Linked DNA regions of Oryzias latipes. The protein of the gene in region 1 purifies or fractionates together with the protein of each later gene. This does not show direct contact. Links are inferred from orthologs where the notes say so. Each region holds a gene or a part of one and is shown on either strand. Other genes may lie near its edges. The genes, in order: arfgef3 and phb2.

What was found.
Region 2: the proteins of arfgef3 (region 1) and phb2 purify together in Homo sapiens (affinity purification with western blotting; 4 studies listed by BioGRID). This does not show direct contact. The link is inferred for Oryzias latipes from reciprocal best matches to the Homo sapiens genes ARFGEF3 and PHB2.

What each region holds. Positions count from the first base shown.
Region 1 is NC_019873.2:14,395,943-14,407,720, forward strand, and holds the end of arfgef3 (brefeldin A-inhibited guanine nucleotide-exchange protein 3), read right to left. Parts: intron 10,750-11,778; coding exon 10,531-10,749; intron 10,408-10,530; coding exon 10,236-10,407; intron 8,742-10,235; coding exon 8,640-8,741; intron 8,569-8,639; coding exon 8,180-8,568; intron 8,103-8,179; coding exon 7,601-8,102; intron 7,343-7,600; coding exon 7,151-7,342; 3' UTR 4,989-7,150; downstream 1-4,988. UniProt on the Homo sapiens protein: Participates in the regulation of systemic glucose homeostasis, where it negatively regulates insulin granule biogenesis in pancreatic islet beta cells. Also regulates glucagon granule production in pancreatic alpha cells.
Region 2 is NC_019862.2:5,429,063-5,442,011, forward strand, and holds phb2 (prohibitin-2), read left to right. Parts: upstream 1-5,935; 5' UTR 5,936-6,039; coding exon 6,040-6,060; intron 6,061-6,914; coding exon 6,915-7,044; intron 7,045-8,217; coding exon 8,218-8,302; intron 8,303-8,884; coding exon 8,885-8,964; intron 8,965-9,169; coding exon 9,170-9,354; intron 9,355-9,438; coding exon 9,439-9,568; intron 9,569-9,732; coding exon 9,733-9,836; intron 9,837-9,966; coding exon 9,967-10,044; intron 10,045-10,133; coding exon 10,134-10,213; intron 10,214-12,166; coding exon 12,167-12,191; 3' UTR 12,192-12,435; downstream 12,436-12,949. Other genes in the region: pde6d (retinal rod rhodopsin-sensitive cGMP 3',5'-cyclic phosphodiesterase subunit delta), read left to right, coding at 889-977, 1,157-1,282, 1,646-1,751, 3,479-3,560.

The DNA.
Region 1 (11,778 bases):
CCAGGTTTATTGACATAAAAAAAAAAGAAAATCACATTTAAAGTCACATTAAGTTGTCGCCCTAGGTGTGTGATATTTGTTCTCCGAATTTCAACCATCCCCTGGGGGAGCAGTGAGCTGCAGACACAGCCACACTTGGGAACCTTTTGGTGTTTTAACCCCTCAATCCAACCCCTTCATGCCAAGTGTCAAGTATTAAAAACATGGTATTGAGTCCCATTTTTTGTGCCTTTATGACTAGGCCTGGATTTGAACTTACTACCCACCAGTCTCAGGGCGGACACTCTTCACAAGGCCAATGAGCTCTTTAAATATTTGGTGCAAGCAAATTTGAATAAATCTAGTCTAGAAAAGGCCAAACTTTGTTAAACACAGGTTTTGCTAAAAGATCAAAATAAAAAAAACTTCTGAGGTTTGGAAGAATCGTAAAACCAATACAGACCTAGAAAGAACATACTTAATACACACTCTCAGACAGGATTAAACAGGACTTTGTTCCACAGGAATTTAATTTACTCTTTATCGTCCTGTACAGTATATGAACGTTACTATGTTGTTAAAGCTGAATATATTAAGTTTGTGCAGCAGTTGATAAGATTACTTTTTTTTGGTTAACTAAGTAATAAGGCTTTTGTAAATTTAAGTTGTAAAGAATATTTACCTTTTGTTGTGTATTTATTTTTTCATGTCAACAAGACCTCATATAGAAGGATAACTTCCATACTCCATGGATTGCAATAGAACTGGAAAAAATGTATGATAATAACCGAACATTAAATGTATGTAAATGTATGTGAAGAAACTGGATTTTCTAGAAAGGACTGTAATAATAAGAATAGTTAGGTTGGTTCGTTTCCCCTTTCAGTTTCCAGCACACAGAAATGCATAAATGAGACTCAGAGACAGTTACTTAACTTCAGTGAAGATTTACTCCGCACAAAACAGCACAGGGTTACAGACAGAGGAACAGGATCACAAGGTCTGAACCAGGTCTGAACAAAGACACTCAGAACAGGGCTTGGTATATATACCTGACATTTACATATTCAAAAGATGGTCTGGGGATCTATGGTGTGAAAAACCCACCCACATGCTGTTGCAGGCTGGATACTTGAAGGTCATAAAGCTTCAAGTGTCAGATCTCTCTGATGTTCCCACAGACATTTGCCAGAGCACAAACACCAGAACACACAAAAAGTAAAAAGGGAGGATGAGGAGAAACTGTGAGGACAATAGCTTGTTTGTGCTGTCTTAGGCTGTAATATAATTTTGAGATGATAATACATGCTCAGTGAATTAAGTTTAAACCATTAGTGTAATAAAAGGTATAGGTAAATGTAATAATAGTAAAAAGGGGGTTTCTAACTATTCTATTTCTAATTATTCCTAACAATGTATTATCAATTTTCTTCTCTGAAGTTCTTAAAAAAAAAAAAAAAAAAAAAAAAAAAAACGAACCAAGTCAAAACCAATGTATCCCCCCCCCAAAAAAAAGATACAAATGTAATTAATATAAATAAAGTTTAGCCTAAATTACAAAAGACGTTCATACAACTACACATCTTGTGTGTCAGAAGATCCAGAACCTTCTGTTGTAAAAGCAAAATATATCCAACGCAAGAGGCAATCAGCTCCGATCTGTGTGCTCAGCTGTTGGACAGGACAAGTGTTTTAAAAAAAAAAAAAAAAAAAAAAAAAAAAAAAAAAATCACTATCCCAAATGCTTTCAGATGCATTGCTGCCATTTGTGGACATCTTGTTTTGGCCTAAACAGGGCCTTATTGGCAAAGGTTTTGTATTTTTTAGTGTTTATTTGTGAAGAACTTAAAAAGACACTCCCGAACTGAACTTGACATCTTAGAAAGACCAGGTTTTATATTACTTTCCACCTAGCAGACCCTTCAAATCTGGATCAGTTATCAAAAATTGTATAGACACCAATGAATCCCATTACATGTTCTTTCCAAATTAAGTTCATTTGTTAACTACTAAAAAAAAGATAGTGATTATTGTTAGTGCAGGCTTCCACTGACCAGATTTTAGATTTCCTCAACCGTTTTTTGTCAAGCAAAGCAACCTTTCTCCTCTGAAACTGTGTCACATGTCTGGGTCATGTTCGCACTTTTTGATCCGTCTATGTCAGACACAGATGGAGTAAGGATAGTGCAATCAAAAAAGCAGCTTTGCAGGAACTTTGTCCGCTCTCAGACAAACAGGCTCAAATAAATAATCAGAAGTCTCACACTCATCTATAGCACAGTCTACGCAGGATGTCTGTGCAGGTCCATGTTCTGTCCCGGATCAATTTGTCTGATCTCAGAGCAAAGTGGGTCAAAGGCCCTTTCTTTCTCAGTAATCCATCACTAAAGTCCTCAAACTACACTTGACTGTACTGATTATTATGAGTAAGCGTGAGATTAAACCTTTCCAGGAAAAGGACAGTGCAAGAATCTGATAGATGGGTGGTTAAGAGGAGAGGGCTTCACATCCCACAAAGACGTGATGAAACATATGACAATGCATCGATTCTGACCTTGTTGTTAGCAGGCACTCGCTCAAATCTGTTTAAAAAGAAGTGAAGCAAAATCACTAAACATTGGAGTTAAGAATCAACCTGAAAGTGAAGCAGGTAAAGCCCCAGAAGGAAAGTTGAGAGGAGGGGCAAAAGAGGACATATGGTGAAAGTGCTGGTGAAGAAACCTGACATTCACAGACACATTAGCTGACAGATGCAGCCCTAGGACCTAACAGCAACTAAATCCTTTCTCCGTGTTGTTGATCACACTGATGGCTGACAACATCTGTCCTCCCACTGCTCGCGTTTAAATGAGAGCAGGTCAGGGACAGAGGGAGGGATTTAGCCAACTGAAGTAAAACTGCGAGGAACGAACGAGCAGCGAGACATGCTAATGCTCATTCACAGTAATGAGGCCGTCTAAAATGACTTCTTTAAAGAAATAAAGACGCAAGTTTATAACAATGATTGCTACGCTGAAATCAAGGTGCAAGTTTCTGCTCTAAAGAAATGAGAAGTGGGTTAATGCTTACAAAAATAGGAAATTCTAGTTTTTTTTTCCTTTTGAACATTTCCACTGCAACAAGTTGCATTGTTAAATGATTGCAGGCTCACAAAATGCAACTGGAATGAAAATTAGACGCCATGTTAACAAGAGATTTTGGGAAAAAATGCCTTTGAAATTGAAATTAACCCATTGCAGGACGAATAAAGACTTATCTTCTTATCCTAAAAACATCACTGATAAGTTGTCAAGAACACTGCAAATGGTAAACTTTGTTTTGTTTTTACATTGAGTTTACATTTATCACATGATTCTCCATCCATTCATTTTGTTCTGCTCATCCAGGACCAGGTTGTGGAGGAACCAGTCTAAACAAAGATTCCCAGACTCCCAAGCCACGTCCTCCAGCTCCACTGGGGGGACCCCCGAGGCTTCCAGGCCAGCCAAGACACAGTTTCTGCAGTGTGTACTCTGTCTTCCACGGTGGGACATGTCCTGAACACCTTCCCAGGGAGGCGTCCAGGAGGCATCTGGACCAGATGCTCCTGCTCCGGTCATACAGAGACAGGACAGCTATCGGTAAGGCTCCCCGGAACCCATATTCAGAGTATGGATTCAGATGGCTGTAAAATAGCAGCTTACAGAGTTCAAAGCCTTTTTTTTTTTTTTTTAGGAGAAACATGTAGACTTGAGTCTGTACTTCTCTGAAATGAAAAGCCAGCAGGTGATGCCAACTCTGTTTGGCCTCCTAATCAGAAAAGAATTGGAAGAAAGACTTTCTCATATTTCTTTAAGTCTTCCTTCCTTTTGCTTCTAAACATGGTTATTTCATTATTGAAGACAAATATTATCAGAGACTCAAAATATACAAACATTTTTTTTTTAGTTGATTGGATTTGTTAAGTTTCTTTCCCGAAAAAATAATGGATGTTTTTTTTTTGGATATGCAGTAACATTATGTGAAATTGAGGGGGGAAAAGAAATTGAGACAACAGAGTGACTTTTCTTGGTGAAAGCAAGATTTAAAGATCGTCATGGCTGAACATGAGAACCAAGTAGCCTCCAGGCTGTCATACAGAATCAGACGATGTGATTCGGGCCAGCAGAGCATCAGCCTTATCGCCATTTGCACTTAAGCCAGAGATCATGGATGAGCAGGATTCCTTTAAGCCAAACTGGCTCTCCTCCAAATAAAGAGGATAGAATAAAATGACCATGTAGCTGCATAACGCAGAACTCACTCCAGAGGTTAGCAAGTTATCTGACTCGGGTAGTTAGTACAGAATTAGTTGTTTATAATTACATGAACAAAAAAATCAAGATTTGGGATTTCAGATTTATCTGACTCAGTGTATATTGTGGTAAATTGCAAAAGAAGGCCTGGGGACATTGGGAAAACGTAGGAAGAACAATTTCAGTGCTTAACCCCTTTCTGCAAATCTGTTTGGTATTTGATAGGGATACTAATGAAGGATTGGGGAGGAGGGCAAACCAAAAGAGGGCAAAGTTTTTGAGATACTTTAGCTATTCTTTTATTTAATACAGCAGCATAATATAAAAATGTTTTTTGTTAAAGCAAATAATTTTTGAAACAGCTTTTTTGAAATTGATGCATTTCTTAGTTCAAATTTAGTCTCTTTAAGGCTGTTTTTTTAAAATTAAAAATCCCTCATAATTTCATAATAACAAAAATTGTAATATGAAACTAAATTCAAATATTTCTTTTAACTCCAGGAGCTCAACGGTTTAATATCGTTTTTTTTGTCAGACATATAAAAGAAAGACAAAACACTTGCATGTAGAAAGTTTTGTTAAGATGTATCTGCTTCCTGATGGATTAACCTGTAACTACATGACACAGGATTCTTTTTTTCACAAAAAAAATAGAAAATATAGAACACTACAAATGTTTTTCTAAAAGATCTTACTTCAAAGACAAAAGTTGAGTATTAAGAAAAAGATAAAGGCTTTTTAGTGCATCTTCCTGGGATCACTTTGGTTTTTATTCATTTTGGTCACAAGCCACCAGAGCTGTGTACAACTGACAGTCAAAATATCAATGTAGATTTTAAATGGTGAATCCATAACCATCTTCTCAACATGAATATGTGGTTCACTGCAGTGTTGGTGTGAGAAAAGCAGAAAACTTTCAATGAGAGGACAGCGGCAAAGCCAGAAGGAAAATGAAGGAAACAGAACACGGGTGGTCAATGTAGGTTAAAAAAAAAAAAAAAAAAGTAAATCTTCTTAAAAGCATCACAAGCCCCATCCTCCCTGCCCTCAATATGATGAGTTCAGCATCAGTTTGATACTCTTATCATTCACAACTTGTGCTAAAGTGAACATAAAAAAGATGGTCAGAGCAGCCTGAAATTTATTTTTTACTGCAGCCATATTGTTTAAAATACTAATAAATTAAAATGTTCTTAATGGTTATAGGAGGAATAGGATTTTATAATGTATTCTCTAGAGTTTTCATTAAAAAAAAACAGTTCTGTTAGAAAATTAACAGGACTCTGTGCAGGAGTTTGTATTTCTAGATTCTTATGTTTTGTGATTTTTTCTTTCTTCATTTTGGTCCTTCCAAAGTGCGGGGATTGGAAATTAATTATGGATTCATCATTTACTTTGAAATATAAATAAATACATTCGCCTCAAGCATAAACAATAACTGGATTACTAATTTCTGACGTTTGTAGTCTAAAAGGTAAAAAGGCCATCTTAACTCAAGCAGGAATATACGTTTCACGTTTTTATGCCCACCCATCTTTTAGTAGCAAAAGCTCACCCATAATTATGGACAAACTAGACCTTCTTCCATAAAGCTAAAACAGCTGATTTATTTACAAAAATCCAGTCATTTCTGTTGTCATTCATTTAAAATAAAGGGAAAAAACCATAAACTGAGATATGTCAAAGATTCTTATTCTTCCATGTCCTGAAGTTGGGTCATGACATCTGGACTTATTGTCTTCTTATCCAAATGGCTTCATGATGAAGCTGTTAGGGTAAGTGGCGACATATGAAACCAGCCTCTAATGGTCATTTGAGGAACTTCAACATTTGTTACTTTTGGACGACTTCAAATTTGGGTAGAAAATTCAAAGGCTTAGTTCAAACCTTGTGGCTTAATTGGCTAAGGTGCAAATTTAAGATTATAAAAAGAAGACACTTCATTATCCCAGAGTTATTAGAAGAATCTATGCCTTTTTTAAATATTCTGAATTTCAAAATACAACTCCAGTAATACAATTCTAAAAGGTGCTGCTTCAAAGCAGCAAAACTAGCAGTAATCTTATGTTTGTTTGCCAATTACAGCAGAAGAAATCATAAAAGACAAGATGTCTCCAATAGGAAAAAAGAATCATTTAAACAAAGTGTCCACTGACACACATAATCATACATGAATCAACAGCTGGAACAGATCATCAAAACACACATAAGTTTGAATAAATACCCAATAGTAGAAGATTTATTGATAAAGACATTCAGAAGGAGAAATGCTGACTTTGCAGGAGATTTAAAACTGCATCTGGAAAATAATCTTTCACTGAGAGAGAAATGCAAACAATCAGATTATGAATCAGGCCTAAAGCTTCACTTGGACAGAGAAAGAAAATGCTGTCAATCAAATAAATCAAATGAGCACATCTTCGGACTTAGATGTTGTGACCTCCTTTTGATGAAGGAATTAACTGCCATTTTTCACAACCAGGACACTTGCTTTACTTTGACGGAAAAGCTGGTAAAAAAAATAACCTCCTTCCTGCAGAATACAGAAGCGCTGACGAGAAGAGAATGAATGATGTTCAGCAGGAGAAATGTCGTTGCTTTCTATAAACAGGGGTGGATTGTGCCTATCCGAGAAATGCAACGAAGCTCTGAGAAATGCAACTGGATACCAAAAAACACACATCATGATTGTACTGGGACAATAAGATTAAAGCATTAGCAAATTTGCCACCCAGTTTTCAGAAACTGTGAGAAAACGTACCATTGGAAATCTATCGCTGTCTGTAAGCCCATATTCTTCCAGCTTGGATTTTCAAACTTAATTCTCACTTCGTGTGCTTACATCCTTCAGTGAATGCTGCCTCCTTAAGTTTTTTTCCAAGGTCCTCGCAGGGGTGTCACACAACGATGTCATAGAGTCTGCCGACCCGGCCCAGCCACTCTCGGAGCGCCTGCCGGACGCGAGGGTCAGTTACATGACAGGACAGCTGGCTCAGGCAGGGGTACAGCACTGGCTGCAGCGCCAGAAAGGAGGAATCTGACAGAGCCAGAACGTGGTTCAGAAGTGTTAGGACCATAGTGGTCCACGCCTGTAAGAAAAGGAGACAATTTCAAAACACCGACTTGTTATGCAGTTTCAGAAAAACAAAGAAAGCTTAAAGACACACTACAATTATCTTTTCATCTATTGTAAAAACGTTCCCAGTGGTCTTTAGATTATAATTATGCCGTTTTAAGCCATAAAAAAATAAAAACAGGCAGAGGCTGGTACTTTTTCAGTACCTGCCTTATAGAAAAGAAAATGTGCAGCTTTTAATTTTTTTGGAAGTGTTGTTTCTGATACACACCTGTATCTGAGCTTCAGAATCCCTCAGTGAGATGCTGTGGGAGCTGAGGGTGGATCCTGACCGTGGCCTCTTCTCCTGCCTCAGCACCTCTGGGCCAGCACTGACTGAATGCCTCAGATGGGGACCCTGCTGATCAACCAGCTGCTGTGGCCTTTGTGGGGGCGTCTGTGGCTCCTCTGGGGCCCTCCTCTCTGCTGCACCAACAGTCCCTCCTCCTCCTGCCGCCCCTACTCCTCCTCGCCCTTGCTCCTTCATGTACAAGTTGAGGTGACTCTGCTGCGGCTGCTGCTGCTGTTGTTTCCTCCGCTTGTACTCCATCATCAGCTTGCTGATGGTTTTGTCTGTGGCGATGGTATACAGTTTGTTTCCGGCGCTCTCCCACCATTCCTTTCTTCGTCCTGGCCCAGAGCTACTAGAAGTCCCTCCCACTGAGCTCCCTGTGATGTTGGATTCCCTCCTCTCTCCTCCTGTCCGGAAGTGGTGTGGCAGGCTACCCGTGAAGCTGTGAAAACAGAAGAGACAGTTTTTTTTTTCCAGTAGCTTTTATTAGACAGATTAAGATTATTTTATATTACAAACCTGAATCTTGGGCTGGGGGTAGACATGTCTCCTGGCGACACTGCACCCAGGTCTGCTGACTGACATCTGTAACCCCCGTCCTCTGAAGGCGTTCCACTCATCGAGAGTCCGCCTGGGGATGTTGGCGTGGGTGTTTCAGACTGGAAAAGAGGCAGGAAGAACACAGCCTCTGTCCCCCCTCCGGCACCTCCTCTGAGCAGAGGGGACTGCTCCAGCGTGCTCTCCAAGTCCCGGTGCATCTGGATGTAGCTGTTACACAGATCCATGCACACCTTGTAGAGGCGTTTGACCAGCCAGGCCCAGTCTGCACTCCCAAGTGGCTGTACACCGAGTGGCGTGACGGGAGGCCGCCACTGATGGCGCTTCTCTCTGCCACGAGGAGGACTCACCTGCAGGAGGAGACAAGGTTTACACACTGATTTTAAACAGAATGGTCCTGTGTCTGTAAAATGTGTGTCACCTGTGCCGTTTCTTCAAAAATGTCTTCATCCTCCGAGGAGGCAGAACCAGGATGAGATGAGTCGGAGCTCCCCTCTTCATCTTCATAAAGGATCCTTTTCACCTGAAAACAACAGAAGGCTTCAAAAGCAATGCAAAGACAACAGAAATCATGGAAGAAGCTGTAGCTACAGTCGCTACATGGTCCTCAGTTAGAGGTTAAAATGTGATCACCAAATGGTTTATATAAAAGGTGAGCTGGAATGTTAGTGGGTTATTTTAGAGACAATTATCACACTGAATACCTGCTCTGAAAGTCTTGGTTACACCTACCAAACACATAAAAGCGTAGATGTAATATTCGAGGAACACATAAAAAATGTTGAAATAGAGGCATTTTTCTAAAGGTATTAAGCAAGAGAATGCTGCATTTTTAATTTTCCAGACACAGTTTTGTTTTAGAGCCAAGATACGGTCCAGTCTTCATCTCTAGAACAAAGTCTGACGCTTAATTTTTCTGAGACAAACGACACGCTTGTAACACATTCTTTTACTGAGCTATAAAAAACTAAATCTCAATGGCGGATTTCAACGATCACAGTTCTAGTTGAGAAGAATCTTAAATCTGCCCACCCCCTCCTTTTAAAATTGGCATTTGATCAATATCCTTTTTTCATTCCTTTTTTTGCAAATGTATCCCTAAACTAATTTTCTCAGCATTTTTTTAAAACATAAAAAAATACACATTTGGAAAAAAAACAATCCCAAAAAGGAAGAAAAATACGTTTCAATCAGTAACTCTTTATAGACAGTACTAAATATTCTATATTTACTACTAAATCATCATACATCAGTATTTTTTAAATCCGTTTTTCTCCAAGATTATCCCTAAAAACCAGAGAAAACTATTTGTTTAAGAGTTTTGGAAAGAAAAGGGGAAAGACATACCTGTGTGTGAAAACAAGCAGACTCTTGAAAGATCATAACTATAATTTGAAGTGTTTGATAGATCTTGCTAAAAGTTCATCCATATACTATTTGTTAAATTGACTTATACTTTTACAAACTCAATTTCCCATCATACTGCACTAACCATGCATAATAGGTGGGTGCAGTAAAGCATACTACTGTCAATAGACACCAGATAGAAAAATAAAATGCTGAACTACACACAAATAACATTTAAATTGCTAATTATGAAGAGGCAAATTTTTTAATGAACTACTGCCACTCTGCAGAAACTATGTCCTAGAAAATGACAGGTTTTTTTAGTTTTGGTTAAAGATTGTTAAAAGACCAATGGAACACTTTTGTAAAAGATTAAAAGATGATTGAAGTGGGGCTTTTAACTACGGTATTTCCATTTTGACCAAAAGGTGACATTTTAATATGACCTTAGAAAATCTTTAAAATGAAAAATAATTTTTTTGCACAAATTATAAAATAAAAAAATAAAATAAAAAAATGTTTAAATGCGTCATGAATAAATTTGCTGTTGATAGTAACATGGGTGCTCTAAAGTGAGCAGAAGTCCCAACAAAACAACCAAATGTACTCATGGCAGGATTTTCATAAAACAACTGTAATCGTTTTAATGTGTAAAAAGCTTATTTCCCACCTGCTGTGCGGTCATGCTTTCAGCCTGGCTCAGCGTGGCACAAAGCAAGGCCTGGAAGTACAGGTTGAAGCTCATGGCAGATTGCCGATAAAGGTTGGCAGCTCCACAAACTCCAGAGACCTTCATCAACAGATATTTCAGCCCAGGACGAGTGTCAAAGTCCCGAGCCGTCCTGCAAACAGATCAGAGCTCCCATGAGCTACATGTAAAAATATCCTGCATTCCTTCAATTTACCTTCAGAGATTCAAAAGGTAAATAGATGAGTCTTATTTGACTTTTTTGTGTTGCAATAACCTGTAAGAGTCGAGCAGCAAATCCAGGATCATGGCTAAATTAGACATAGAGATGTAGCGCAGGAAGCCTGCTGTGGGTCTCCTGGGGTCAGAGGTCACAGGAGTGACTCTTTCATTTCCTTCAGGCTGTTTGACAAACTCCTCCAGCAGGATGTCATAGAGGTTCTGCAGAAGAACCTGGTGGGAGAGCAAGCTCACCACGATGGTCCGGAACGGGATCCTGCACATTGTTAAAAAAACACTGTCAGAATACATTACTACAGTCTGCCTACCCGTCTGTGTATAAATGCATCTGGGAAAAGAGCCCCACCAGATGAACTTTATGATAACATATTTTAGAAAAAAGTCCATCTCAAACATAAAAGCAATAATTTCAACTAAATCATTTTTAAGCTCAATGTCACATTTGAAACACAGGTAAACCACACTTAATACCCGAGATTTTATCAAGTTTTAACAAAGATAGTATGAATGCGAAGTATTTGGATCCATTTTAACGGGCCTGTGTCATGCTTTTCTTAAGGCCTTTCAGAGTAAACTATATTCATATTTATGATAATATATTACCTTGGACACACTAAAGAACATTTTATTAAAATGAAATATTAGTTATTTTTGCAGCTCATTTTCCAACCCGGAAGTAAGACAACTCATTCTCTGAGGCACAGACTTTCACTCCTTGTGGGTGGCGCCCATTTCATGACGGCAACCTAGAGTCGGCCTCAGCAGCGTGTCTGTGTTTCACCCATGTTTTCACCCCATTTTGCTGATCACAGCTAGCTCCGCGGAGAAAGTGTGTGTATGTGTTAGTCTGGCAGCACAGACTCTTCCTGGAAAGGGATATTCATCCCTTTTCTATGTCAGCTGGTGAAGACCCACTCGTTTTCATGTGTTGGGAAGGACTGATTCTCTGCATTGGGGTTGATTTTTTGTGAGGAATTAACATTATAATATACCTAATAGCTCATAAAAGTGGATTTTGCATGATATAAGACCTTTAAACATAAAGCAGGTTTTTTGTTCAAACTACTGAGCTTATTTATTTATTGTCATTGTATTTTATAGATTAAGAAACTGTTTCAGTTGAAAAAAATTGTTCAAAATCTAATAGAAAAAGAAATTAGTGTTTAGACCCTTTTTGTGACATTCTTTTACTTAAGCTCTTCACTTTTAATCACTGAGATAAGTAAAGTTCATTTCAATTCAAATTCAAATCTATGGCTAAACTTTATGTTGAACATGGGAGAAA
Region 2 (12,949 bases), on another chromosome or scaffold:
GCAGCCGCGATCACAGCCCGGTAGCGGGGGTTTGTCGTTGAGGGGGACCGAAACCGACCACCGATATGCTGTTAGCATCTGTGATATTCGACTGAGTTTACGAAACCAGGGTCTGCGCGCGGCGCGGAACCCGTCTGGCTAGCTAGAACCAGCCGCGGCTCTGCCGTGTTTACCAAGATGCTGAAGAGTCCGAGTGGTACACGAATGCACCACGGATTCGGCACTGAAGGAAACGAGCAACTTAGTATCCAACTGACTCGGAGCCGGGTCAGACCACAGAATCAAAGCTGAAATTAAATGGAGAGTCAGATCAAAGCCAGTACCGGGTCAGAGTGAGGTCTACCGGTACCGGTTGGAAGGGGGGGGTTCATCTGAATACCCAGAGGTCTTTGCAGGCACACGATGGTGATCCAGAATCTGAAACTAGCTTGACCTGAAGGTCCAAGGACATAAATGAATCTGCAGGCGGTGAAGAGGAGGAGAGCCGTCTTGAACTGAAGATGAAGATCTTTATGGTTGAAAACTGATCTTCATCACAACGGTTACTGGTCTGGGACTCTTCTCCATCCCAGTTTGTGTTCTGACAGCTGTGCCAAAGCTCTGCTTCATAGTAGGCGGCTGGTTTCTCCGCTCCAAAGTAAATGCAGATCCTGCAGATTAGACTGAGTTACACTTGAGGGGATTAGAGGAACCTTTGAACTCAGCACACTTTTCCAGGGGGTGGGGGGGGGGGGGTGTCAGGTGCTGATCACCAGTCCTGCCTGCTCACCTCAAGGCACGGGCCACCACAGTGGCACTTTGGTACAAAAAAATGTTGGTTCTGAGCAGCGTGGCGGTTCACAGCAGCTCCTGGCTTGAGCTCTTGACTTCACTTAACTCCTTTGGCAGAAACTGGATGAACCTCCGCGATGCGGAGACGGGAAAGATTTTGTGGCAGGGGACTGAGGACCTGTCGGTACCGGGGGTGGAGCATGAAGGTAGGTCGCCACTCGGAACTGGACTCAGGACAAGCTACTAAAGACAGCAGAGGGGTTAGCCTCTCACACAGCCAGGAGGGACTCTAAAGAACTGATGATCCAGGAGGATCTGCTTCTCTGAAGATGAGCAACCGGCTGAGCAGTTGCTCTTCTGAAGCTCATATCCTCTGTTTTCTCAGCTCGCGTACCAAAGAAGATCCTAAAGTGCAAAGCGGTGTCCAGAGAACTGAACTTCTCTTCCACGGAGAAGCTGGAGAAGTTCAGGCTGGAGCAGAAAGTTCTCTTCAAAGGACAGTGTCTAGAAGGTGAGATGCCAGACGTCTTTCCATAGAGCTAGAGTGTGTCTGCTTGAACCCCAGAGAATTCACACCGACAAATGTTTCTCCTTCATCCATCACTGCAAGATTGTTCATATTCGCCTACCCGTTGTCATAGTAACCAGCATTGGTCTTTAACAAACAAGTCTAGTTTCCCTCAAGCTGCTACACCAGTGGATTTTTTTTCCCAAATCAATTCTGTGTTCGTGTTCCTGCCAGGGCGTCCCAAAGGGGCAGCTGTTTCTCAGCTCTACCCACGGGACGCCCCACCCTCCTCATCCCAACATGTTTTTCTGGAGTTTCCAGAGCAACAAGCAGCACTGTGATAGTGTGTCTTTTGTGCATTTGCAGAGTGGTTCTTTGAGTTTGGCTTTGTCATCCCAAACTCCACCAACACGTGGCAGTCACTAATCGAAGCTGCTCCAGAATCACAGATGATGCCTGCCAGTGTTCTGACGTGAGTCTACGTCTCCTGTCTGCTGGTGATGTCCTTGCTGCCTGGCCCATTTCATGAAGCAACCGCACTAATCGGACTTCTACGTCCTCGAGTTTAGATCTGCACACTCTCACAACTAACTGTGCATGACTGGCATGTGCAAAACTGCACAGGCTTTAAAGTGCACACACTCACAATTGTGCACTCTTACAACTGTGTTCTCTCGAAGCTGTACATGCTAACATCTGCACACTCTCACAGCTGGAGATGCTCACAACTGTTAACAATAACAAAAATACACTCACAACTGCACAGTTACAACTGCACATGCTCACAATTGGGCATATTTACAAATGCAGTAGTTCTAGTTGCACAATCTGACAACTGCACATGCTCACAATTGGGCATATTTACAAATGCAGTAGTTCTAGTTGCACAATCTGGCAACTGCACATGCTCACAGCTTCACACACTCATATGCCCACATTCAAAACTGCACACACTGCAACTAAAACACTTAAAGGTGTACTTGCATAAGTGGAATGCTCACAATTTACATTTGAAACGCTACTCCCAGCTACCCATGCTTTTAACTGTGTGTGACTAGGGGTGTTAGAAAAAATCGTTTCGGCAATATATCGCGATAGGTCATTTGGCGATACTTGTATCGATTCAAAATGCTATCAGGACGATATTTATTTAATTATTTATGAGCCCTCCGACCGCTAGTTGGCAGCAGAGCACACGGAGCCTCTTTGAGCAGCTCTACACCACACAAAACAACAGGAAGATCTGAGCTAGAGGCAGCTTTATTCATTGTTATGAGACATGATATACTTAATTTTTACTTGGGATGGGAACCGAACCCAAACTCTGAGCCATGTTGCTGCCAGTATCATACAAAAACGCGAATGGCAGTGCTTTTTAGCGGACTCAGAGACTGCAGCTGCACCGCGGCTATTGTGAGAAAGCGTGGCTGCAGCAGCGGTTCAGACTGAAATTTACACAAGCATCTTTGCCACATAAAGCGTCTCCTTCATCCTATCATGCTGCTTCATCATCACACTTTATTGTTTCTTCAAAGAATTTGTGTTTTTGAAGTACCAATATTGAAAATAAACAGCGCTTTATTTCCTCAATCATATTTTTAGAACCTTATTGGTTAAGGTACATTCACTCCTTTTTTTTTTCTTATTGTGGAAATCAGACAATGTTGACTCTTACCTTTCTATAGTTTAAGTTACCAGAATAAAAGAATTATAAATTTGCCTGGCTAAAAGCAACTTCTATATGAGATACAGTTGCAGTGCTTAAAATTGTGATCATTAAATAAACATAATTTGACCATTTTATTACAATGGAAGACATACAATTCCGCGGAAAAGAAAGAAAATGTGTTCCGGTACAACATGGGATACGTAACGTATCGTCAGACTCTTGTCTGTGACCACAGCTGTGCATCCCATTACCTGTGAGCTCACAGCTGCACATGCTTACAGCTTTTCAAGCTCACAACTATGCACACGTACAACCTACGCTTTGACAGTTGTGATGCTCAAACTCCATGCACTCATATTAGTTTAAAGTGTGCAGCCCAATGGAGGACTAGCTTCTACTTGTGTTTCTTACAACCAACATGGTTGTGTTTGCATGCATTCACTTGTGTTTTTCATTTTGCTGCTTGTTGTGTGTTAGGATGTTAAATATTACAGAACGTGGTGTAACTGCAGCCCTTCTTTGTCTTCTAGTGGGAACGTGATCATAGAGACCAAGTTTTTTGATGACGATCTCCACGTTAGCACATCCCGGGTCCGGCTTTTCTATGTCTGAGCCCGAACTAGACCTCTGACTGTGCCCTCTAAGTGCTGACGTCCTCCACCGTCACAAACCACCACGGTTAGGTCCAGTTGGCAGCAGTGGTGCTGATGTGGAGTTGGCACGCTCAGGTCCTCAGTCAACAAAGCGAGCTTCGTGTTTTGGTTGCCCCCCTGTTTTGAGGGCAATGAGGAGCCGCACTGTTTCCAGCTCCAGGAACCTATCCCCACATTTCTCTTCCACCTGATGGACCAAAAGCCTCCCCTTCACTCCTCTTTTTGCTCCCTGTTGAACCCGTTTGGAGGCTCGGTTGTTCGGGAACATGACCTCATGTCAGACCAATAAATCTGTGTGTGAACTGCTCCAGATGTTCATGGAAAGCTTTCTCTGGACAGCACTGCTCACGGATTTGGCCACATCTGACCGAGGAGTAAAATTTCAGGTGTGTTCAGATCCTGATGGTGCTGCAGGTCCGTTTCAAATCAAACTTCCTCTTGGCTGTGTCCCATTTCAGAGGTCACCCTCTTTGTTCAGGACCATCAAGCATCAGGTGAGGGCAGGTACTCACCTGTGTGCTGATGGACAGTTTGAAAAGGGCTTTCGTTGGTTTAGTACAGAACCTTTCTTAGCTCAGAGACACAATGACTGGATTCGGCGAGCGGCCCCTGAGGTGGGACACAGCAGCTCCGGTCAGTCCAGGTTCAGCTGACAGACTCTCCTAACTGCTGTCCTCCAGAGGAGTCACCAGATGTTCACCAGCAACCTCAGAGAGCTTTATGAGTGTCAACTGTGGAGCCTTTCCAAGCTCTGTTCCACTGCAGCACTGAGGCTTGGCTCCATTTTTCCTGTACAGCGTGAACCCCTGCAGCTTTTTCCTGAACATCCTCATAGATTTTGGAAATTTCTCACTTTGTTTTTTTTGTTTTTTTTAGCTGCTCTCTGAACCTGTGTGGAATAGATTTGTGTTTTACTATGACAAGAGTTGTGAATTAAAGTTTAACAATGTTGTAATAACACAGTGTCCTCTTTTTAATAAACATACAAACGCAGCACATCTGAACATCACAGTTGAAACTGAATAAAACCGACCTGATGTGACAGTTGATGGACTGTGACTGCAGCTCGTTACAGATGCAGGAGCTGAAATGAGTTTCGTCATCATTGACTGTATAACAGAACTGGACTGACCCCCCCCCCCCCCCCCCGTTCCAACTAGGAGGTGCCGGCTGGATCCAAGAACTCAAAGTCTCAAACTTCAATGTCACAATAACCATTCTTGCGCTGTTCCCTTTTTCTTGACATGTTCTTGCTAATCCTAATTTTGTTTTCATATTTTGTCTGTAGTTCATATTATTCCAGTTATAAACTAGCCAATCAGATGCCTCAATGAAAGCAGGTGGCCTTGCGTTGAACATGTCACATTTTTTTTTTTAATTTTCCTGAGCCTGTGCTCAATGAAAGGAGGTGTGTCCTTCGAACATGCTCACTCCTCATTGGAGAGACAGGTTGCCATGAAAATGTTGACTTAGTCGGACTCAGACTTATCACGGTTTACTGAGGACGTCTGGCGATGGCTATTCTGTTGAAAAATGGCGACTAAATTGATTTGCAGATCATTTTCTATGGGTGACATCACGCATGCTTGGTCCAGTTCTCTTGCAGTCAGTGGTCCAAGCTGTCTGTCTCTCATAGTGAAACAGCCGCACAGACAAACAAAAACTTGCAGGTTTCGAAGTGATTTAGAAATGTGAAGTCTGTATAGAATGGAAGTTCATAACAGATTTTTTGGAACTGAACCCAAGACTTCACTCCGACCATCTTTTGGTCCATTTTCAAAGCGTTCCCATTGGTCTTTGAATTATTATTATGCCATTTATCCAAAACAAAAAACCTGTTTCATTTTTTAGGACATAGTTTCTGCAGAGCGCCAGGAGTTCATTAGAAATTCACCTCTGATATGTGGGCAGCACAGTTGGTGCAGAGTAAGTCTGCCCACACTTCCCAACATCCCTCTGTTTACACTCTCTCCCACTAGCTAACAGTCTCCCAATGACCCCAACCTTCTTTATACGAGGATGGTTCTCTGAATGCATCAGAATGAACCAGAGCAGAGAGCTTGTGGCTTGCCTTAGGAACACGAACATCACACAAGCTTTTTCAAACAGCATTTTTCCGTCTGCTCCTGATTCACAAAGATTTAATTAGAAATACTCAGAAATGCAATTATTAGCTTACATTTCTTTATATCCTGAGAAAAACGCAACAAAAACACGTCAAAAACATAAAAAAAACCCCACAATTTTCATTGGAGTTGGTCTTCAGAAGAAAACACAGTTGGACCAGCTGCAGTACCGTTTCTTACTCACAGGAGGCAGCAACACCGGATCCCATATAACTCATTGGGATCCACCTACTTCACTGCAACGTCATGTCCCAGCATGCCTTGCGCTAAACTGCGTGCGCAGCGAGCTGACCTTGGGTACCGTTGAACAACATGTCGAGCAGGGAGCCGAACGTAAGTGTTCTGGACCGTAAAAGAAAGAAGGTTCCGGTCAGATAGCGCTGTGTATCCGCTTAGGTCAAAGCAACTGACAGGGTAGTTGCTAACTGCGCAAGAACCTCGCGCCGGTGTTTTGCAGCCCACGTGACTACTTTACCTTTGCGGAGGCACGGGTTATGGTAATGTGTGCCGTTCATGTAAAGAAGTGTAGTTTAGTCTAGTTGGAATCTACAGTCTTAGTTCAGACTGATAGTTTATTTAGCTGTAGTCAAATGTATAAGTTGCAGTTCCGTCAGTGAGTTCGGGAAGCGCGTTCTACGGTTCTGACCCATCTTCTCACGAGGGAGAGATGGGAGCTGCAGTCAGTCAGGCAGGCACAGCTCACTACAGCTCCTGCTCTCCATTGTTAGTCCGGAAGGCATCTTACTGTGACCCGGCTAGGGATTAGAACCCGCAACCTCCTAGCTAGTACAGAGTGGTCACTCATCCACTGTAGTTCACAGAGCTGGTTAGTTTGGATTGGTTAAGGAATTTGTAGTTTTTGTCCCAATTTTATTCAGATGAGTTTAGTTATGACAGGTTTAGCTCAAACTGGTTAAGGTTAGTCTGGTTTCTTCCAGACAGGTTAGTTTACATAGACTGGTTTAGTTCAGACTAGTTTATTTTACACTGGTATACTTTAAAATAAACCTATTTAGTTTAGAATAAACCAGACTTGACCCTAAAGCAGTTCATATGGCCTTTTTTATAGTTTGACCAATCCGTGGTTTGCATTAGACTGGTTTTGTTACTAGTTTAGACTAGTTGAGTTCATTCTAATCATGTCTTTTTTCCCATCCATCCCTGCTGTTCTTTGGATCCGACCACAGCGCTTCTTCCAGCACCTGAGAGATCTGTCAGGCCGGATGTCGTCTGGCGGTCGGGGGGCGGGGCTTGGACTTAAGCTGCTGCTGGGAGCCGGCGCTTTGGCGTATGGCGTCTATGAAGCTACATACACAGGTGAGGCCAGGAATCTGGTTTCTGCTGTAGCAACTGTGATCATGTGTATCAGGGGGTAAAGTGTAAGAGGATAAACAAAAACAATTAAAAGTGGACAAAGCAGGACCAGATCAGGAAGATCTACAAATAAAGGTAGTTTGTGAATTTGTGCATCTGCAAGATTTAACGCTGTGATGACCTTAGACAAGGAGGAACTTATTCAAAAGTGTCTTTGGGTAAACACCTGTTTGGACTACTGAAGGTCTTAGAATGAGCAGCGTCTCACCTTTTTGTCCATGTCCTTCACAAACAACCAGTGCAAGCAATTTCAAGCTGTGCAACATCCATATCACAAAGGTCTGCGAAAATCGCAATAAATTGTAAGCCTTAAATGTGCTACAACAATCTTATGGCAGCTTGAAGTATTTTACAAATTGAAAAAATCCCTTTATTCATTTGACCAATCAGATACAACCCTTCACGTTGTTGACAATCGGATGGTGCTTTTATGTTAGATGTTTGCCTCCTTTTTAGACGAGGGTCATTTGAAATATAATTTAAATCTTTCCCGCTATTACTTTTTTTCCTTTCCGACCGTGGTCAGAAGCGCGGGGGACTGAAGGCGGATCCTCCTTCGGGGTTCACTACCCCGTTCAGACCCTCAGATTCTCCAGAGTCACAGAAATTCACATTTAATTGGAAATGTGAACGGCCTTGCAAAAAAATCAAACTTTTTCAAAAAATCGTAATTGAGCATTAAGCCTTGCAGTGTAAACGTAGCCTTAGTAAAGGTGATGTAAAGCAGCTGCTGTTCATCCAGAACGCTGCTGCTCAAGTCCTGACCAAAACCAGGAAGGACGACCACTTCACTTGGTCTTAGGCATCTACTTCCTGTTGCTCAGAGAACAAACATTAGAACAGATCTGATTGTGTTAAATTCTCTCCATGGCTGAGCACCAAAGTACATCTCTGACCTGTTCAAGTTTAGATAAAAAGAAACTTGTTTTTAGATCAGTGTATGACTACTGAATGTCTTTGATCAGCCTTCGTCTTTTTATCTGGTTTTCAAGTGATAAATTGTAATTCATCATTTTGCTGTTTAAGTTTACTGTTGTTGTTTTGTATTATATGCTTCGAATTTGCCCATTTTTTTGTTCCAGTCACATTGAATAACCTTGTTTTGTGTGTGTGCAGTTGAAGGCGGTCACAGAGCCATCGTTTTCAACAGGATTGGAGGGATGCAGATGGACACAATCCTGTCAGAGGGGCTTCATTTCAGGTAAGTTTCACTGAGTCGGTTGTGACAGAAAGGGGTGTGGTCTGTGGTCTCTAGTTCACTGTGGGGACTTTAAGAAGTAAATTATAGCATGTAATCATGCCCAGCTATTCCCTCGGGTCTGACTGGCAGGCAGACTTGCTTCCATGTGGACTGACTTCTGTTTTAAATCGGTTCTCTGAAGTTGGTTGACTTCTTCTGCGTTTGTGTCAGTATGTCAGAAAGCACCAGTTCATAACTTGGAATGTCTCAAAACACTGCTCAAAAACATCAGACAGAGCTTTATAAATTATAATTGTTTAATCTAATTTAGTCCAGATTATTTTACCTGTATTTCAATGAAAGCTGCTGAAATGACCAACAGATTGCATTGAGTTTTGGTGCCTGAACCGAGCGAGCAAACGGTAACAGTGGAAAGGAACATTTTCTAAATAGAAAATTAGGAAAGAAAAAAAGCAGAAACAGACTGTGTAAGGATGACCGTGTGCCTCGGGCAGATGTAGTTTGAGAGGACAGGAAAGAGACGGACACAGACGAACTGGAACATCTGCTACAAGGCAACGTCTGGTTTGTGTGTCTGTGCAGGATTCCATGGATCCAGTACCCCATCATCTATGACATCAGAGCCAAACCCAGAAAGATCTCCTCTTTGACAGGCAGCAAAGGTAAAACTCTCACTGTCTTTGCTTGGGGGTTGGATGTAGAGCTGGCCATGGTTTCTTTTAACTACCTGGGCCAGGTGTGTATAATCCATGACTGGTGATACCGGACTTCCTGTTATTCGGGGCACCTGTGTAAGGTTCTTGTGTCATTGTGGTCCCTCTACATTTGGGTGAAATAAAATTGAACCTTCTTGTGTTGTGTGTGTAGACCTGCAGATGGTGAACATCGCCGTACGCGTCCTGTCCAGACCTCTAGCCTCCAATCTGCCCATCATGTACCAGCAGCTGGGTAAGGACTACGATGAGAGGGTTCTGCCGTCCATTGTAAACGAGGTTCTGAAGTCTGTGGTGGCCAAATTTAACGCATCGCAGCTGATCACACAGAGAGCTCAGGTGAGTTGGAGCTCTCCTCTGTAACAGGCGACATCCCATAGTGAGGTCTTGAGCTCTGCTAACGCTGTGCTCTGATTGGAGCAGGTGTCCTTGCTGGTACGCAGGGAGCTGTATGACAGGGCCAAAGACTTTAACATCATCCTGGATGACGTGTCCATCACCGAGTTGAGTTTCAGCAGCCAGTATACTGCTGCTGTGGAGGCCAAGCAAGTTGGTAAGTGGGCACACACCTGCGCCAGGTAGAACCAAGCCTGCAGTCACGTGATGGCAAATAACAAGCCGGAGTGAGAAAATAAGCCGTTGAGACACAGTGAATGGGACTTAAGCCCTCATTAAGAGCCAACCTTTGTGTCTGTGTGTGTTTGTGCGTGCCTATAGCTCAGCAAGAGGCCCAGAGAGCCCAGTTCTACGTAGAGAAAGCCAAACAGGACCAAAGACAGAAGATCATTCAGGCAGAAGGAGAAGCTGAAGCTGCCAAGATGGTAAGCGACAGGGTGACCCGTCAAGGTCTACGTGTTTCTTCCAGTCAGGCTCAGACAAAACCAGGTTCTGACTGAAAGAAAAGTTGTTGAGTTGGTTTCAGCCACACTGATCGATCTGTCTGCATCTCAGCTTGGCCAAGCAGTGACAAAGAACCCAGGTTACCTGAAGCTGAGGAGAATTAGAGCGGCGCAGAACATTGCCAAGACGGTCAGAGACGTTTTTTCCTCTGCAGCACAAGAGTTGTTTCTGTCTGTGAGGATGATGATGATGATGACGGAAGATGTTGTTTCCTCCAGGTGGCGGCGTCCCAAAACAGAATTTACTTGAATGCGGACGGTTTGGTCCTGAACCTGCAGGATCAGTCGTTCTTCAACACGTAGGTTCACACACAAAGGTCGCACTGACCTCCCAACATCTTAGGCTTAACAAGCCTAAAACCTGCTTGTACTAATGCTAACAGTGATCTTCCAACATGCTAACCCTGACCTGTAAAGCCATTGTGGTCTATGCCGATCTAGTGAGCACTGATGGATACTTGTTTTTGCAGTGACATCTTGAAAATGGCGATCATCCTCTGAAGTGCACTAAGTAGTGAGGGAATTTGGACACAACCAATGTGTTAATGCTAACAAGCTAGCTCTGACCTACTCACATGGTAATGCTAGCAAGCAGTGTTGCCAGATAGTCATGGTTTTCCAGCCCAAAAGTCATCTAAAAAGCGCCGGGTTTCACAAGAAAACGATTATTTAGCAGTAATTACTCATCCTTTAATTAATACTTCTCATTTTGATTGAAAGACCAACTTTGAGACATTTTTAATGATATTACATCCACAATTCAATATCTGTAGAATTAAGAAAAGTGCCATCACTGTCCATTAGGTGGACAATGTCCATCTAACTTTTGTAAAACATGAATTTTTGTTTGTATAGAACAGATCGATTATTCCAAATCAAATCAAACTGTGTTTGTATAGCACTTTTTCAACTTGTGCTACTCAAAGTGCTTTACATAAAAACACAATTAAATCCTAAAAACAAAAGACAAGACATTACACAAATATTTTGTCTAAAACCCCTCAAATAGTTGGTGTTTGGACCGAAGTTGTGGATGTAGATTACCGTATTTTCCGGACTATAAGTCGCCCTTTTTTTCATAGTTTGGCAAGGGGTGCGACTTATACACCGCAGCGACTTATATTAGAAATAAATTCAAATAAATACATTGTTAACCCTCCTGTTATGTTCATTTGTGAGGAACAGAGATGATGTTCCTGGGTCAATTTGATGTTTGAGGGATGTTAAGTGTTAAGAGTATGTTAAGTGACTCAGAGAATCAGCAAACTTTTTTTTACAGTAAGATCTTGAAGGCTAACAACATAATATTCTATTTTCCAATGATTTCATAGATTCAGAAATGCAATAAAAATGAAAACTGTTTCTACAAATACAGGCTGAAAACAGATTATTAGTTGGCCAATTATGCTTCATGAAAGGAATAAATAAATAAGTTTGAGAAAGAATTACTGTGAAATTATGAGATAAACAGTCTGATATGATTGTGTCATATAAGGTTGTGCAAATTATTAGTTCTTGGTCTCAGATTTTGTCAAATAAATTTCCCGTCAAAATGCGACTTATAGTCCAGTGCGACTTATCTGTGTTTTTTCTACTTTATAATGCATTTTTGGTCTGGTGCATGCGACTTATAGTCCGGAGCGACTTACAGTCCGGAAAATACGGTAATTTCCAATAGACCAAGACTTGTTTGTGGTATTTAGAAAAATTTGATTGGTAATTTAAAAGGATCAGAATCACATTTAAAACAAATCCGTCCCACCCACCATCTAAAGCAGATGTGAAGGAATGGTAAACCAGATTGAATGTTTTAGCTCCTGTATTTTCAAAGTCAGTGGCCTTCATCTCGCCTTCCTCCCCTTTTATTGGTCAATTCCATTCCGACAGGACAAATCAATCTGGTTTCATCCCAGGAATAGAAATTGATTTATCAACTAATCGATTAATTGCTACGCCCCTACAAGAAAGGGTCTTGAAAACCCTAAGCGGGAAACTCTTCGATACATAAGATCGCAAAAATGGAGTCAAGTGACCTCTAACTTTAGCCTAAACAATAAATGAATGTTTTTCTCTTAATCGCCAAGATGATGAACTGCTGTTGTGCGTGTGGACTGTCGTTTGTCCACATGCACAGTCTAATAGCTTCATCTTAATCCACAATGTTTTGGTGATTGTCCATCTGGATGGAGCCACACAGCGACCTTAACGTTGGCTGACCTTCATGCTGCTGAACCAGGTTCTTGTGTTTTCAGTCTGTCCTTGATGCAGAAGAAGTGATGGAGAGAAAGAGGATGGCGGCTCAGCTGGGACCTCCCCCTGACTGATAGACAGCTGCTTTGGTGGGGGGGTAGAAAGGGAGTAGAGATACCAGTACCACATTTACCCCCCGTCTACCTGACTGGATGAGAAGATCGTCATCCTTTGTTGAGGATTGGTTGTTGCCGTGTCCCAGTTGGAGCAAAAGATCCCGGTGACATTTGTTGTTTTTGTGAATTTATGAAATAAACTTAAATCCAACTGAGTTAAAGGGTCTGGTTTCTTTTTGCATCACCTGGGGAGGGGGGGTTGAGCCAGAGCTGATGAGATGACCTTCAGTTCTGCAGTGTCCAGGTGTTAGACACAAACTGACATCAGAGAAGAAACATGAGTCTGAGAAGAGTATAAAACGATAGAAGACAACAAATCCATTATTCCACAAAGGAGAATCATTGTTTCATCTAATTTCTGACCTTCAGAAGATCATTCAGGCAGATCATCTGGTAGTTGGAACCTCCATATATCTGCAGACCTTTGTCTAGGATTGCTCAGATCCTTTCAGCAAAAACATCCTCACACTCACCAGCTGTGAGGTTCTTAACCATTTTGCTGTAATAGAACTCAGACATGTAATCCAAAACAATGATGGAGAGGAGAACCAACATCCTGGATCGAATAACTCAAAAGTTAAATCCTCAAAATTTCTCTCCATAATCCTCAGACTCATGTTGAGGTCGACTTTTTGGGGATCTACAGGTTTGTGGGCCAGACCTGCAGAC